Linked DNA regions of Oryctolagus cuniculus. The protein of the gene in region 1 purifies or fractionates together with the protein of each later gene. This does not show direct contact. Links are inferred from orthologs where the notes say so. Each region holds a gene or a part of one and is shown in the gene's direction. Other genes may lie near its edges. The genes, in order: PRDM16 and CTBP1.

What was found.
Region 2: the proteins of PRDM16 (region 1) and CTBP1 purify together in Homo sapiens (affinity purification with mass spectrometry; 3 studies listed by BioGRID and IntAct, with this or other methods). This does not show direct contact. The link is inferred for Oryctolagus cuniculus from reciprocal best matches to the Homo sapiens genes PRDM16 and CTBP1.

The regions. Positions count from the first base shown.
Region 1 is NC_091438.1:162,973,237-162,980,453, reverse strand, and holds the end of PRDM16 (histone-lysine N-methyltransferase PRDM16), read left to right. Parts: intron 1-883; coding exon 884-1,117; intron 1,118-1,640; coding exon 1,641-1,815; intron 1,816-2,741; coding exon 2,742-2,876; 3' UTR 2,877-6,938; downstream 6,939-7,217. UniProt on the Homo sapiens protein: Binds DNA and functions as a transcriptional regulator. Displays histone methyltransferase activity and monomethylates 'Lys-9' of histone H3 (H3K9me1) in vitro.
Region 2 is NC_091433.1:409,941-417,157, reverse strand, and holds part of CTBP1 (C-terminal-binding protein 1), read left to right. Parts: intron 1-308; coding exon 309-463; intron 464-2,467; coding exon 2,468-2,612; intron 2,613-2,756; coding exon 2,757-2,963; intron 2,964-6,314; coding exon 6,315-6,529; intron 6,530-7,217. UniProt on the Homo sapiens protein: Corepressor targeting diverse transcription regulators such as GLIS2 or BCL6. Has dehydrogenase activity. Involved in controlling the equilibrium between tubular and stacked structures in the Golgi complex.

The DNA.
Region 1 (7,217 bases):
GGCCTGGAAGCGGCGTCCTCGTTCGAAGAGGAAATTCGGAGCCGGACTCAGAGAGGCCACGAGGCAAGAAAGGCAGGGACCGGGCTGGCGACCCCTCAGCCTCGGACCTGCAGCCCCACCCCCGGCTCCCGCCATGCGGAGGAGAGAACGGGGTCCCTGCTCCCATTCAGACAGCGAGAGCCGTCCATGGGCCCACACGGGGCCGCCAGGACCCACAGCGACGTGGTGGGCTCGCCGGGGCTGGCCCTGGGCTCTGCGCCTGCAGCGCCCCATGCCCCGCCCAGCGCCGACCGGAGGGGCCTGCTCCAACGGCACCGAGAGGGCAGAAGCCACGGAGGACAGGAAGCGGGACCCAGAACCCGCCCGGCCCCAGAGCCCCCACCCCTGGGGACACGGGTGTGAGTGCAGTCCACAGGTGGCCGGGCACCAGGCAGATCGGGCATCTGCCACGTGGGAAGGAGGGGGCTGTGAGAGCCAGCAGCGAGGAGCCCACGGAGGCACCGCATGTCCTGCTGAGACGCCCCCTTGTCCCCCAGAGTCCCCGAGGGCCACCTGGACAAGACAGGGGGCCCTGCGCCTGCTGCCCTCCGCAGCGTCCCTCGGCCGCAGCCAGACAGCTTCTTCCCAACACCCCCCTCGCTGGGGACCCTGAATGTGGGGCCTCCCTCCTTGGATCTTCCCAGCCTCCGCCGGCGCCCACAGGGACGAGGGACGGGGCCCAGCTCAAGGCAGCCGCGGCCCCAAAAGCTTCCTAGGGGAGAGGCTGGCAGGCCGCGAGGAGCGGGCGGGAAGAGCGGACGGAGCCGGGCCGCCGGCCTTCGGGGTCCGGAGTGAGCAGGGGTCCCCTGAGCGCTGCCCAACTGCCCGCTCACTGTCCCTTCAGGCCGGCGGTCCAGGACCTGGACGGGAGCCCCCAGTGTCCGGGCTTGGCCAGCGAGAAGCCGGAGGACGGGGAGGAGGAGGAGGAGGAGGAGCTGGAGGAGGACGAGGACAGCCTGGCCGGGAAGTCCCAGGAGGACGCCGTGTCGCCCACGCCCGAGCCCCAGGGCACCTACGACGATGAGGAGGACGAGGAGCCGCCCGCCTCCTTGGCCTTGGGCTTTGACCACACCCGAAGGTGCGCAGGGCTCTGAGTGGAGGAAGGTGGCCCCCTCCTCAGCCCCGCCCAGCCGGGGCCTCCCTCCGCCCCCGGCGGGAGCTCAAGGCTTCAGCCCCATGGGCACCCCTGGGGAAGGGCGCTCCTGGCCGGGCCCCTGGGCTGCAGCCCTGCTGGGGCTCTGGGCGCCAGGCCGCTGCTCGCCTCTGACTCCCGGCAGCCGGCGACATCGCCAGCATCCTGATTCCCCCGGGGGAGGCCGCCGCCTCGGCGCCACCCCGGGTCCTGGGAGGGGCAGCCCCACCCTGCCGGAGCTTCCCCCAAGTCGCAGCGAATCAAGGCCTCCCCGGGACCCCGCACGCCCTGTGCACCACTCACGCCTTGGGGCCTCTGCCCCCTCTGTCCTGCCTCCACGTGGTCTCCCGTCCAGGTGTCCGTGTGTCTGTGTGTCCGTCTCCTGTGCGTGTGGCTTGTGCAGGCCCGGAGCCGGGCGCGCGGCCTCGGGGGGCTCACCCCAGGCCCCTCTCCCCGGTCCTTGGTGCAGGTGTGTTGAGGAGCGCGAAGGCGGCCTGTTAGCTCTGGAGCCAATGCCGACCTTCGGGAAGGGGCTGGACCTCCGCAGAGCCGCAGAGGAAGCGTTTGAAGTGAGAGATGTGCTTAACCCCTCCGTAGATTCTGAGGCTTTAAAGCAGACCCTGTACAGGCAGGCTAAGAGCCAGGTAGGTACCCGCCTCCCCGGGGAGCTCGGGACCCCGCCCGACCCTCGGCCCCTGGAGACAGATAGGACCCCTGAGGCCCGAGGGTGCCAGTGGAGCCGGGAGGGGCCGAGAGCAGCCCGGGGCACTGTGGCCTTGCGGCCGTGGGCCCCCTCCCCTGGGCCCCCTCCCTCAGGGCAGCGGGCAGGGTCTGTGAGCAGGTTCCCGGCCACGCTATGGCCTGCAGCCCCAGCCCCCACTTCCCTCTCTGCTGTGGGCCAGTGCGACCCACAGCCCCGTGCCCGGGGGCGGCCACTCAGCCGGGTGGCCCCTGCTGCTAAGCTGCAGCCGTGACCAGGGCCAGGGAGTCACTAGGCCCCGACGCCCTGGCCTCCGGGCCCCAGCGTAGGCGGCCGCAGTGCCCACCTGCTGTCTCCCTGCAGCCGGCCCCCCAGACAGCCTCGCCCCGTCTCAGCTACAGCCGTCTGCATGTCTGTCTTTCGTCTTCCTGCTAATTCTGTCCGGGTGTCGACTTGGGTGCCTCCCCAGCACCCCGTGCTCGGCCCCGTCTCTCCCCCACCGCACCGCCGAATCATTCCGTGGCCTGCAGAGGCTTCCGGTGCCTACTCCCAGAGCGGCTCTGGGGTCCCCAGGCCCGGCAGGAGCGCAGGGTCTCACAGGAACTCCCACCTGTGCCCAGAGCAGACACCTGCGCTTAACTCCCGATCACCAACCGAACCACGCAGGGGCGGGGCAGGGTGACCGCGAGCGAGCCCCTGGCCAGGACGGGGACTCTTGGCGTCGCTCTGGGCAGGAGGGATGGCCCTTCTCCCTCCCCGCTGCAGGGCAGGGGAGACTCTGGGTCTCCCTGGCCCCGCTGCCCTCCGCCCCACAGTGTGGGCCAGGGGGAGGCTCCCTGCTCACGGCCCGCCTGCGTGTCCCCCCCACAGGCATACGCAATGATGCTGTCCCTCTCGGAGGATGCTGCCCTCCACACCCCCTCCCAGAGCTCGCTGGACGCTTGGCTGAACATGGCGGGAGCCGCCTCGGAGTCCGGCGCCTTTAACCCCATGAACCACCTCTGATGGGCCTGGAGTCCAGAGCGAGGGTGCCGGCTGCCCAGGATGAAGGCGAGGCCAGGGAGAAGCCCCGTGTCACCTCCTCCGACCACCCCCACAGCCGTCCCCTGCCTGCGTGGGCCGCGTCGAACTTTCCTGATGAAGACTCAGAAGCTGCAAGCCCCGGGGCTGGGGGGAGCTCCCTCCTCATCCCTGGAAACCGGCCCTGGGCCTGGTCGGTCGAGCCCAGCCCTCGCCTCCCGGAGCTGCCGCTCCAAAGCAGCCCCAGGCCGGGCCAGGAGCTGGGCCGCTTCCGGGCGCCCGGAGTCACCGAGGAAGGGACCGGCCCGGGGCAGGTGCGCTCTGCCGAGACCGGGCGCGGGCGCTTTTTATAATGAGAATGACAAGAGTGACGCTTTTGGTAATCTTATTGACTACAGATTCTATTTAAGCATGTGGGTTTTAAAAATAGACAGTATTTTTTAAAAATCAAAAAAATGACTTGCAAATTGTTTTTTAAAAGTAATTTTGCATTGCTTTGAAATTTCAGCTTCTCGCAAACCCGGGCGCTGGGAGCCAGCACTGTGCTTGGGCGAGCTCTTTATACTGTAGATAACGGAGAGATTTTCTATCTCGGATCCCATTTGTACAAGCCAGGTTGATTCCGGGTGCCCCGAGGCAGAGCGTGGGGTGCAGACTGGACCGAGGCGTCTCAGACGCGGTGCCCGGGCTGCAGGCCTGCCCGGGGCCAGGACCTGGAGGTGTGCCCGCCTGGGCGGCCTGGAGCTCCTGCCAGGGCCTCCACGCGGCTGCTGGAGAACCCACGGGCGACCACCCCAGACTCCCCGGCTTCGTGGGGAAGCCAGGAGCCCGAGGCTCAGGCCCTCACCCGGGGGTGGCCGGGGGCCCTGGCCACCCTTCCAGAGGTGGGGCCTATTGGCCACATTCTGGCTCCGTGTCCTGCCCGTGGCCACCCAGGGCGGGGCGGGGGCTGCGCAGCTCGGCTGCACCAGGACGCCAAGCGCTACCTGTGCCTACGGCCCCAGGTCGGCCACCCCGCCGTGCCACCCTTGGCGCAGGCTCCTGGCCAGACGTCCGGGGCTGCAGAGAGAGCGCCCAGCCCCCGGGCACGGCAGTGGCTTCTCCACTGGGACGGGCTTTAAATTATTCCCATGGGGCCAACTTCGAAGTATAATTTTTCCGTGATGGAATTCACCTTAATCTGTATATAACTTGTAATTTTTCTAATCATTTCTTTTCTTATTTTATTTCTTCCTTAACAGTATTTTTTTTGGCATTAGACATTCTTATTGTGAAGAAATGATGTTAATATAAGTATCTAGTGAGGGACCAAAACCGTGTATAAGGTTGTGTGTTGTGTGATGCGTCACCAGGGAGGGCGGCCAGCTGACGTGCCAAATACCCCGCCCCGCCCGCCGCGACTCCTGCCGCCGCCGCCGCCCGTGCCCAGACAATCACGCCCTGATCAGTCTGAGTTTCAGACGCATTCGCATTGACGACGAGTGTTCTATTTATTTCTTTTGTCGTTTGGGGAAAAAAACAAATCCTCATACTAGTGTCCCACTAAGAAGAGAAAAAATCACCCACGTTGCCCTTAAGAGGAAACCGCGAGAACGCAGACGACTGCGGCCGCGGCCGCGTGGACTTGTCATTCCAAGGACACCTCCTCCGTGTGCGCCCCGGGGGCCCTGACGCACGCGTGTCCTGGCTGCTCCAGGCCAAAGACAGTGGGTGCCGGGGTCCAGGCTCCTGCCGGAGACTCACGGCAGAGAGGCCCCTGTGGGCGACGCAGCGCTGCAGGTCCTGGGGTCAGGGGTCAGCCCTCGCCGGATCTACCTGGACGCAAGACGGAGGCCGCCTAGCACGAGCGTGTGCAGCGGCAAGGCGGGAGCCGAGGAGCTGGCGCGGCCCCGTCGGAAGCCTGCAGCCCAGCCGCAGCCGGGCCGCCAGGTACCGACCACGTAGGAAGTCTCCCCTCATCTGAACGCGACCCTGTAAACACCCTATTTCTGTAAACCAAATTATATGATTTCTCCTGCGAACGAATGAGCTGTGTGCTTCTTTGTGTGCTAAGACTCCTCCTCTGTCCGTCTCTCTCTCTCTCTCTCTCTCTCTCTCCCACGTGTCTCTCCTGGGCAGTGACCGAGCAGGCAGGGGCTGCCCTCCCCTGGGCCCTCCGCGGCCCCGGGGCGCTAGCTCCGCCCCCTCTCTGGAGATTTCTCTTCTTCCCGGAGAGTCGCCGACAGTGAGGACCACCAGCCGTTCCCCCTCGAGCATGTCCCTACTCCCACCACTTGGCATTAGGGTTGGGGGGCTCTGTCCCAAAACCCCCCAACCAAGAGAGCACTGATCTCCCATGCTGGTGCACCCCCAAAACATGGCCTCCACCAGCCGGTCCTGCGCACCTGGCTTGACCCTGCGCCAGCTCCAGCCCCAGCCCAGCAGTGCCTGGGCCCTCAGCCGGCCACTGTCAGGACCAGGAGGCCCACTGAGAGGCAGGGAGCCATGATGCCGGCCCCCGGAACGCCAGTGGGAGCCAGGTCACCGAGCAGCACAGGCAGGCACTGGGCGGGGCTGCTGGCTGGCGGACCACTGCGGGGGTTCACACAAGGCTACTACCCTGGTGCCGACCTTGCTCCCCAAAACTGAAATCCAGGGGCCCCTCCCGCTCCTTCCCTCCGCCACCCTGCAGCCCTTGTGAGTCAGCACCCTCCCCCCAGGCCCCCCGCGCCCCCGGGACGATCAGGACATGCGGAGGCCCCTGGCCTCGGGCCAGGAGCAGGTCCCCAGAGTCCCTGACCACACCCAGGGCAGGGATTCCAGCGGCCTCCCCAGCCCCGGGCACGGCTCAGTGCACGGACCGGGCACAGGTGTGGGAGAGGCCGCCAGGCCGGGGCCTTCCTGTGCTAGGTCCCTGCAGGCCCTCCCCGGCCCCGCACAGCCCTGGTCCCCGGGGTCTGGCCCTTGGTTCCTCTGCCTGGCTGCTGCCCCGGGAGCTGGGAGCCCCTCGCCTGAGTGCTTTTACCACGTGTGCAGGCCTCCGAGCCTCGAAGCACTGGACTGCAGCCCCCGCCCCCCGCCCGCATAACTGAACCTGCTAAGAGTTCTGTGCACTGTGCTTCCTGGGGGCGGGGGCAGCGCCCAGCAGGTGGGGGCAGGGCGTGAAAGCCACAAAGCTCTGCACCTTGAGCGAAACTGTGACAAACACGTTCTCGCGTTCTCCCGAGAACTTTTCCTCCCTCCTCCCACGCCGCGTTTGCCACGTGACCCTTTAGTGCCACGCATTCCTTGGGCCCACTTCTGGGAAAACAAACAAGACGGGGCCGGGCAGCGCGGGTCTCCCAGGTCTCCCAGCGTGTGAGCCACGTGCAGGCAGCCGGCCTGAGGTTCCGCCAGCAGCTCGCCACCACGGGCACAGAGGGCTGGTGGCTGCCCGTGCACGCGTGTGCGGCTCGATACTTTGTAACGGAGAGCATCTGTCCTGCTGCCCTTGGCCGTTGTTACATTACAGATCTGCCTTAGTTTCTGCTTCGTTTTTGTTCCTTTTAGAGCTGTATAGTGTTGAAAAATAAATCAAAAGTAAATGTCTGGTTTTCATATGTTTTTTTAAAAAAAAGAAAATGAAAAAAGACCCCAGGAAGGAGGCTGGTGCTTGTCCCGCATCCCCTGGTTGTGAGTTGCTCCTGTTGTCTGTAGTGAACTGTGCGTGACTCGTGCTCGGCGGTCTTCACCGTGTGTCCGTGAATCTTCACCACGTGGAGAAGCCCGTGGGTGCACTCACCGGCCGCGCGACCCGGGCTGGGTCCGAATGTGGAGCTCGCGGCGGGAGAAGGCGGGGATGGGAGGAGGTGAGGGGAGCGACCCTTTCCAAGAGCGGTTTTGCGAATTTCATTTCGATGCTTGTGATGCAGACAAATGTGCTTGCGTACGAATTCCTTCCGTGACGCCGGGAGCAGCCGGATCTGAGGTCGATGCTGTAGACTAGAACTGTGTAGCCCGTGTCATCGTCCCGGCTCCCGCCAGCTTACACAGGAGATTGATATGCAATAAATCTGTGTGCTTTTCCAAGCCTCGCGCTGCCTGGGTGCTTCATTGAGGGGGGACCCGGGGTGGGGGCTGCGCATTGAATCCAGGCTGGGCCTGCGGCCGGGACCCCTGCTGTGGGCGCCAGGCCCCTCCCTCCCCTGCCAGGGCAGGCACCGGGCTGCTCCCAGTGACTGTAGAACAACCATCTCAGGGAGGGCACCCACCGCCCTGGACGGCCCCACAGTGAGAGCACTGGCCTCCGGGGGTGTCCACTCCCAGCTGTGTCCACCCCAGGTATGCCAGCACCAGGCGTCCACCCCA
Region 2 (7,217 bases), on another chromosome or scaffold:
GGGAGGGGACGTCCACTCGGGGAGGGGCTCCCAGCAGGGGTTTTCCTGGCGCCCGTCACGTTCACGTCTGCACGCCACGTGTCAATCAGGCTGCCCCTGCCGCCAGGACAGAGGCCCCTCCCACTGGAGGCCGCTCTCACCTGCCCGGGGGTCTCGGGGACCTGCGCCTGGTGGTGGTTCTCGGCCCGTGTCTACTGGGGTGCCCGTGCGCTGTGGCGAGCTCCAGTTTCCTGAGAAGACCGACGTGATGGGCAGAGGGGCGGCCCCCGCCCTGGCCGTGGAGCTGAGTGCCCGCTCCTGTCTTGCAGGCGTCCGACCTCCGATCATGAACGGGCCCATGCACCCCCGGCCCCTAGTGGCCCTGCTCGACGGCCGGGACTGCACCGTGGAGATGCCCATCCTGAAAGACGTGGCCACCGTGGCCTTCTGTGACGCGCAGTCCACGCAGGAGATCCACGAGAAGGTACCTGTGCGCCCGGGCGAGGCGGGCTGGGGCGAGGCTCCCTGCGGGGCATCGGAGGAGGTGGGGCTTGGGAGGCCGAAGGCTGGAGCGGCCTCCTGGCTGGACGCCCGCAGGCAGTGCCACCGCGGGGCCCTCAGCTGCCGTAGTTCACGGGATGGACACGACCCGCTCTCTGGTGCCCCCCAGCGGTCACAGCAGCTCCTGCAGTTTGCTAAAGATCCAGGCCCTGTGAGAGACCCGAGCGTGGCCTCTGGGGCCTGGGCAGGGACGAGCTGGTCGCGAGCCCAGGCCCCGGGGCCGCACCTCAGAGGGCCTTCAGCGTTCCGCACGTGTGAGGGCCGCCCTGGGGGCACCGGACCGATCCAGGTGGTGGGCCAGGCCCCCAGGCGCCTCCCAGCCCCACCTGGGTCCCTCCGGCAGCTGTGAGCAGGACCAGGCCGGCACCAGGTCCTCGACACCATGGCAGCACCGTGGGCCGCGGGGGCAGGGAGATCTCAGACCACGGGAGGGGCCCAGGTGCCCTGGGCAGGACGCGGGGCCTGGCCACTCCCTCCCTGCACTCTCCCCGCGGCTCAAGCTCAGGGTAGGAAGGCTGCCGCTGTGTGTGCACGCATGTGTGACGTGTGCACGTGACACGTGCAGCGTGTGCAGTGTGCGTGACGTGGGGTATGTGCAGCGTGTGGCATGTGGCGTGTGTGTATGTGTTACGTGTGACGTGTGCAGCGTGTGGCATGTGGCGTGTGTGTATGTGTTACGTGTGACGTGTGCAGCGTGTGGCATGTGGCGTGTGTGTATGTGTTACGTGTGACGTGTGCAGCGTGTGGCATGTGGCGTGTGTGTATGTGTTACGTGTGACGTGTGCAGCGTGTGGCATGTGGCGTGTGTGTATGTGTTACGTGTGACGTGTGCAGCGTGTGGCATGTGGCGTGTGTGTATGTGTTACGTGTGACGTGTGCAGCGTGTGGCACGTGGCGTGTGTGTATGTGTTACGTGTGACGTGTGCAGCGTGTGGCATGTGGCGTGTGTGTATGTGTTACGTGTGACGTGTGCAGCGTGTGGCACGTGGCGTGTGTGTATGTGTTACGTGTGCAGCGTGTGGCACGTGGCGTGTGTGTATGTGTTACGTGTGACGTGTGCAGCGTGTGGCATGTGGCGTGTGTGTATGTGTTACGTGTGACGTGTGCAGCGTGTGGCATGTGACGTGTGTGTATGTGTTACGTGTGACGTGTGCAGCGTGTGGCATGTGGCGTGTGTGTATGTGTTACGTGTGACGTGTGCAGCGTGTGGCATGTGGCGTGTGTGTATGTGTTACGTGTGACGTGTGCAGCGTGTGGCACGTGGCGTGTGTGTATGTGTTACGTGTGCAGCGTGTGGCACGTGGCGTGTGTGTATGTGTTACGTGTGACGTGTGCAGCGTGTGGCATGTGGCGTGTGTGTGTTACGTGTGACATGTGCAGCGTGTGGGATGTGTGTGCCGCATGTGGGGTGTGTGTAGGGTGTGGGACGTGCGCCCCCACCAGGCCGCAGCCTGTGCTCCCGCGGCCGTGTCCACCCCGGCCGAGCACGGGGCGATGGCCTGCACAGCTGAGGCCGGGCCACCCTGCCAGCTGGGTCGTGGGAATGGAGCCTTGTCAGGGCCCCGGCTGTGCCCAGGGTCAGCGTGTGCGCCCTGGACTCCCGTGTCACGTCCCAGGACCACGCGCGTGCTGTGGGCCGTGGGGACAGCGTTTCTGGGTGGGTTTGTCACTGGGGACTCGTGTGTGTTTCAGGGCTCACCCCTGCTGGGGGTCACGGCCAGTGGCCCCGTTCCTGCTCCACTGCTGTCTGGGCTCAGGCTTGGGCCACGGCTCCTCAGAGCCCCCCTTTGCCGTGGCTGTGGCCCCCCACGGTGCTCAGGGCTGGGGGCCCTGCTGTACCCCACGCTCTGCCCCCCGCCACAGGTGCTGACGAGGCCGTGGGCGCCCTCGTGTACCCCACGCTCTGTCCCCTTCCCCTCCCCCACAGGTGCTGAACGAGGCCGTGGGCGCCCTCATGTACCACACCATCACGCTGACCAGGGAGGACCTGGAGAAGTTCAAGGCCCTGCGCGTCATCGTCCGCATTGGCAGCGGCTTCGACAACATCGACATCAAGTCAGCCGGGGACTTGGGTAGGTGCCCGTCCCTGCCGCCCAGGCCCCGCCCCGCGTGGGGCTCCCACAGGAGTCCGCAGCCTGGGGCTGGGCTGACTGCCGTGTGGCCCCCGAGTCAGTCCCACGCCTGTCACGGGCCAGGCTGACCCTGTGTCCCCACAGGCATCGCCGTGTGCAACGTGCCCGCCGCGGCCGTGGAGGAGACGGCGGACTCCACCATGTGCCACGTCCTCAATCTGTACCGGCGCACGACGTGGCTGCACCAGGCGCTGCGGGAGGGCACGCGGGTGCAGAGCGTGGAGCAGATCCGGGAGGTGGCCTCGGGGGCCGCGAGGATCCGCGGGGAGACCCTGGGCATCATCGGACTGGGTGCGTGGCCGCTGGCTCGGCAAAGGATGGGGGGCAGCCCGGGGGGGCGCCGTGGGCATCACACACGCACATACACAGACGTCACGCAGATGTCAGCAGCCGTCACGGGTGTCACACACACAACATGGACGTCACACACAGGTGTCAGCAGCTATCACATCACATACACACATGGATGTCACACTCATGTCAACAGTTCTAACGGGCATCACGTGACACGGGCACAAGAACATCACAGGAATGTCACGTGCGTCACACAAATGACAGGCACACGTGGGTATCACATGGGTGTCATGACACAGGGACATGGGTGTCCCATGAACATCAAGGCATCACACGGGTATCATATGCAGACGAGATGGCCATATGTGGGCATCACATGGGTATCACAGGCATGATATACCTGGGCACCACGCCTGTGTCACAGGCATCACGTGGGTGTCATGGGCACACACGTGGCTGATACGAGCACAGGGACACGGCTATCGGGCACACAGGCCTGAGAGTTGTCACACGTGGGGAACACGTGGGCGTTGCATGGGCACAGGCACCAGATGTGCAGCCAGGTGGGTGCTGCCATCAGGTGAGGGTGCCCAGAGCCTGTGCCCCTGGGGGTGGTCTCTGTCCCGTCCGCTTCCTTGTCACGTGTGGGCGCCAGGCCCCAGCATGGCCTAGAGAGGCACACGTGTGAGTCTGGGTGGCCCCGGAAGTGTCGTGCAGGGAGCCGGGGCTGGGAGAGGGGGTCCCGTGTGAGCCCCAGAAGCCGTCTCGCGGGGCCTCAGGCCTTTCTCTGGAAGGCGCTGGCCCTGGCTGTGGCCCCAAGCCTGGTTCTCGGCCGGGCATTGCGCTGACCAGGGGTACGGGCTGTATTGCCTGGGGGTGGGTGGGTGCTGTGGCTGTCCGGGCCTGCCCCTACTGGCGGCGTCCTCCGGGTCCCTGGCACACGCGATTTGCAGAACGGGCAGAAGCTGGGCTGTGGGAGGTTTGCTGTGGACACACGGCCTGTGGCACGGGCAGCTGTGGCCTGCGGGGCTCCTGCCGTGGTCTCGGCATCTGGGGTGCCCTGCTCTGGCGGCCAGTGTCCAGTGTGGCCTGAGCCTGTGGCCCTCGGTGTGGTTCTCCTGAGCCTGGGGCCTTCTGGGAGCCGAGGGCTGAGGTTCTGTGTCCGGGGACGCCCCCGAGTGCCGCAGCCCCACTGGGCAGACCTGAGCCCTGCCCACGCCCCTGTGTGTGCCCCTCTGTGGGTTCCACGGGTGACCCATGTGATGGCCACTGCTGGCCAAGTGGAGCAGCTGTCTCCCTGCTGCTGCTGGCACGGGGCACCTCTGCACCCCATGCGGGTCTGAGGTGGGGTCGTGACCTCGGCACCCTGTGTGTTCCCCAGTCGGGCAGCGGCTTCAGGTGTCACTCAGGACCTCCTGCTGGTGAAGGGGACCCCACTGCGTGACTGCACCCCTGTGTGTGTGTGTGTGTGTGTGTGTGTGTGTGTGTGTGAGGGAGAGACAGGCAGAGTGAGAGTGACAGAGACAGAGCGAGCGTGACCGAGACAGTGACAGACACAGACGGGAGAGTGACAGAGCAAGCCCCATCTGCCGTTCACCCCCCAGATGCCCGCACAGCAGGGGCTTGGCTGGAGCCAGGACCAGCAGCTCCGTCCAGGCCCTGTAGGTGAAGGGCTCAGCGCTGGGGCCCTCTCCTGCCCCCACCCCCGCCCCCGCCCCCAGCACTGGCAGTGCCCTGCGCCCCGCCCCACCGGTCCTTTACCCATAGCTGCAGAGAAAGTTCTAGAACCATGGCTGGGGCTTCACGGGGGAGGCCTCTCCTGGCCGTGCCGTGTGCACTTTTCCAAATGTCTGAGACCCCACCCCTGCCCTGCTGTGGGGGCCCCAGGATTTCTTTCTTTCTTTCTTTTTTTTTTTTTTTTTTTTTAAGTTTTATGTATTTATTTGAAAGTCAGAGTTACACAGAGAGAGGAGAGGCAGAGAGAGAGAGAGAGGTCTTCCATCCGCTGGTTCACTCCCCAGATGACCTCAACAGCCGGAGCTGTGCCGATTCAAAGCTAGGAGCCAGGAGCTTCTTCCGGGTCTCCCACGTGGGTGCAGGGGCCCAAGGACTTGAGCCACCTTCCACTGCTTTCCCAGGCCATGGTAGGAGCTGGGTTGGAAGTGGAGCAGCCGGGACTGGAACCGGCGCCCATATGGAATGCCGGCCCTGCAGGCGGCAGTTTTACCCGCTCTGCCACAGCGCCAGCCCCCTGGGTATTTGTTACCATGCCCCAGACCCCTCAGCGGCTCCTGGGACCCTGGCCCACGTTTTGTGAGTTGGGGTCTCCACCCCCGTGCAGACGGCCCCTGCTTGCAACTCATCCTGGAGGTTGCTGCACCTGTGTGTCTGTGAGAGACGTGGGTTCCGGAACGCTCCTGCTCTGGGTGGCGCCTGTCCTGTCTGTTTTCTAGAATGTTCTCTACTATGCCTGCTCTTCCTGTGACCAGGACGTCGCCCGCCTCTCTGTGTCCTCTCGTTCCTCACGGGGGACCCTCCCAGGAGTCCCGTCCACACCCAAGGCGGTCCCCTGGCCGGCAGCCGGGCTAGGGCCCAAGCCGCCTGATGGCTTCCCTTCCGTCCGAGGCGTTGCTGGCCCGTGATCTGCATGGAGCGTGTTCTGAGCTTTGTGCCCTGGCCTCCGTCCCTCCAAGAGGGTGGCATGCGCCCACACCCTAGCCCTGCCCCGCTCGTCCCGTGTTGGGGCAGCTTCCCCTCCCGCCCGGGCTCCTGGAGCCCAGCCCGTGTCGTCCCTGGCAGCACAGCAGGCACGCGAGGAGCCAGCCTCCGCCCTGACCGCAGCCCAGCGCTCGGCTGCTCGCGTGGTGGGGCTGGGCAGCAGGTGGGTCCTGGCGGGGCCACAGCCGGCACCGGGGCTGGGGAAGCGCACCTGCCCGCCCTGCACCGCTTCTCAGGGCCAAGCTCAGAGCAGCGGCTCCCAGGTTGCCGTCTCCCCTGGTGGCGGCCGGAATTCAGATCCAGAGACACCGCTGAGCTGGACTTGAAGCCGGACCAGAGGTGTGGCCACGGTGCATGTGTGCACAGCATTGTGTGTGGTTCCAGGCATCTCGTGTCACCCCTGCAGAGGGGACAGAGCTGGCTGTGGGGCTGACTCTGGCCACAAGGACGTGGGGCTCATGGGGTGCAGACACGGGGCTCGCGGTGGTCATGCGGCACCCACCACGGTGTTCACGCGGTGTTCACGCGGCACCTGTCTCCGTGGCCATGTGACACGGCTCACACGGTGGTCGTGTTCTGGTCTCATGGTGACCACGTGGCATGTGTCTCATGTGGGGTCTCCACCCGCAGGCCGTGTGGGGCAGGCGGTGGCGCTGCGGGCCAAGGCGTTCGGCTTCAGCGTGCTGTTCTACGACCCGTACCTGCCGGACGGCGTGGAGCGGGCGCTGGGGCTGCAGCGCGTGGGCACCCTGCAGGACCTGCTGTTCCACAGCGACTGCGTGACCCTGCACTGCGGCCTCAACGAGCACAACCACCACCTCATCAACGACTTCACCGTGAAGCAGGTGCCGCCGGGCCTGTACACTGTCCACGGGGCGGCCCTGTCCCCTGTCCATGGGGCCTGTCCACTGTCCATGGGGGCCTGTGCGTGGGGCGGCCCTGTCCACTGTCCACGGGGCCTGTCCACTGTCCACGGGGCTGCCCTGTGCACGGGGCCTGTGCACGGGGCTGCCCTGTCCACGGGGGTCTCTGCCTGTGGCCCTGTCCATGGGGCCTGTGCACGGGGTGGCCCTGTCCACGGGGTCTGTCCATGGGGCCTGTCCACGGGGCCTGTGCACGGGACTGCCCTGTCCACAGGGGCCTCTGCCTGTGGCCCTGTCCATGGGGCGGTCCTGCGGGGGCAGCCAGGTGGCCTCCTGCAGCTCCAGGCCTTTGATGGTCACTTGTTTGCTTGCTGCAGGGGGTGGGGGTGCACACGGGTCCACACGTATGGTGGAAGGGGCCTGCCACACCCTCTCTCCCATGGTCAAAGGGTGGGGGGGTGGTTGGAGCTGTGACAGGGAAGTGGCACAGGCAGTGGCACTGGGACCCAGGGCCAGGAGGACCTCGGGGTGAGGGGGGGCAGTCAGACGCTGACCGCAAGACGGGGCAGCCGGCTCCAGGGCCGTCTGTGAAGGCAAGAACGGCCCTGCCCTGGCACGGAGCTCCACACAGCCCACCCTGGCCGGGTCTGGCTGCCGGCCGGGGCCTCGC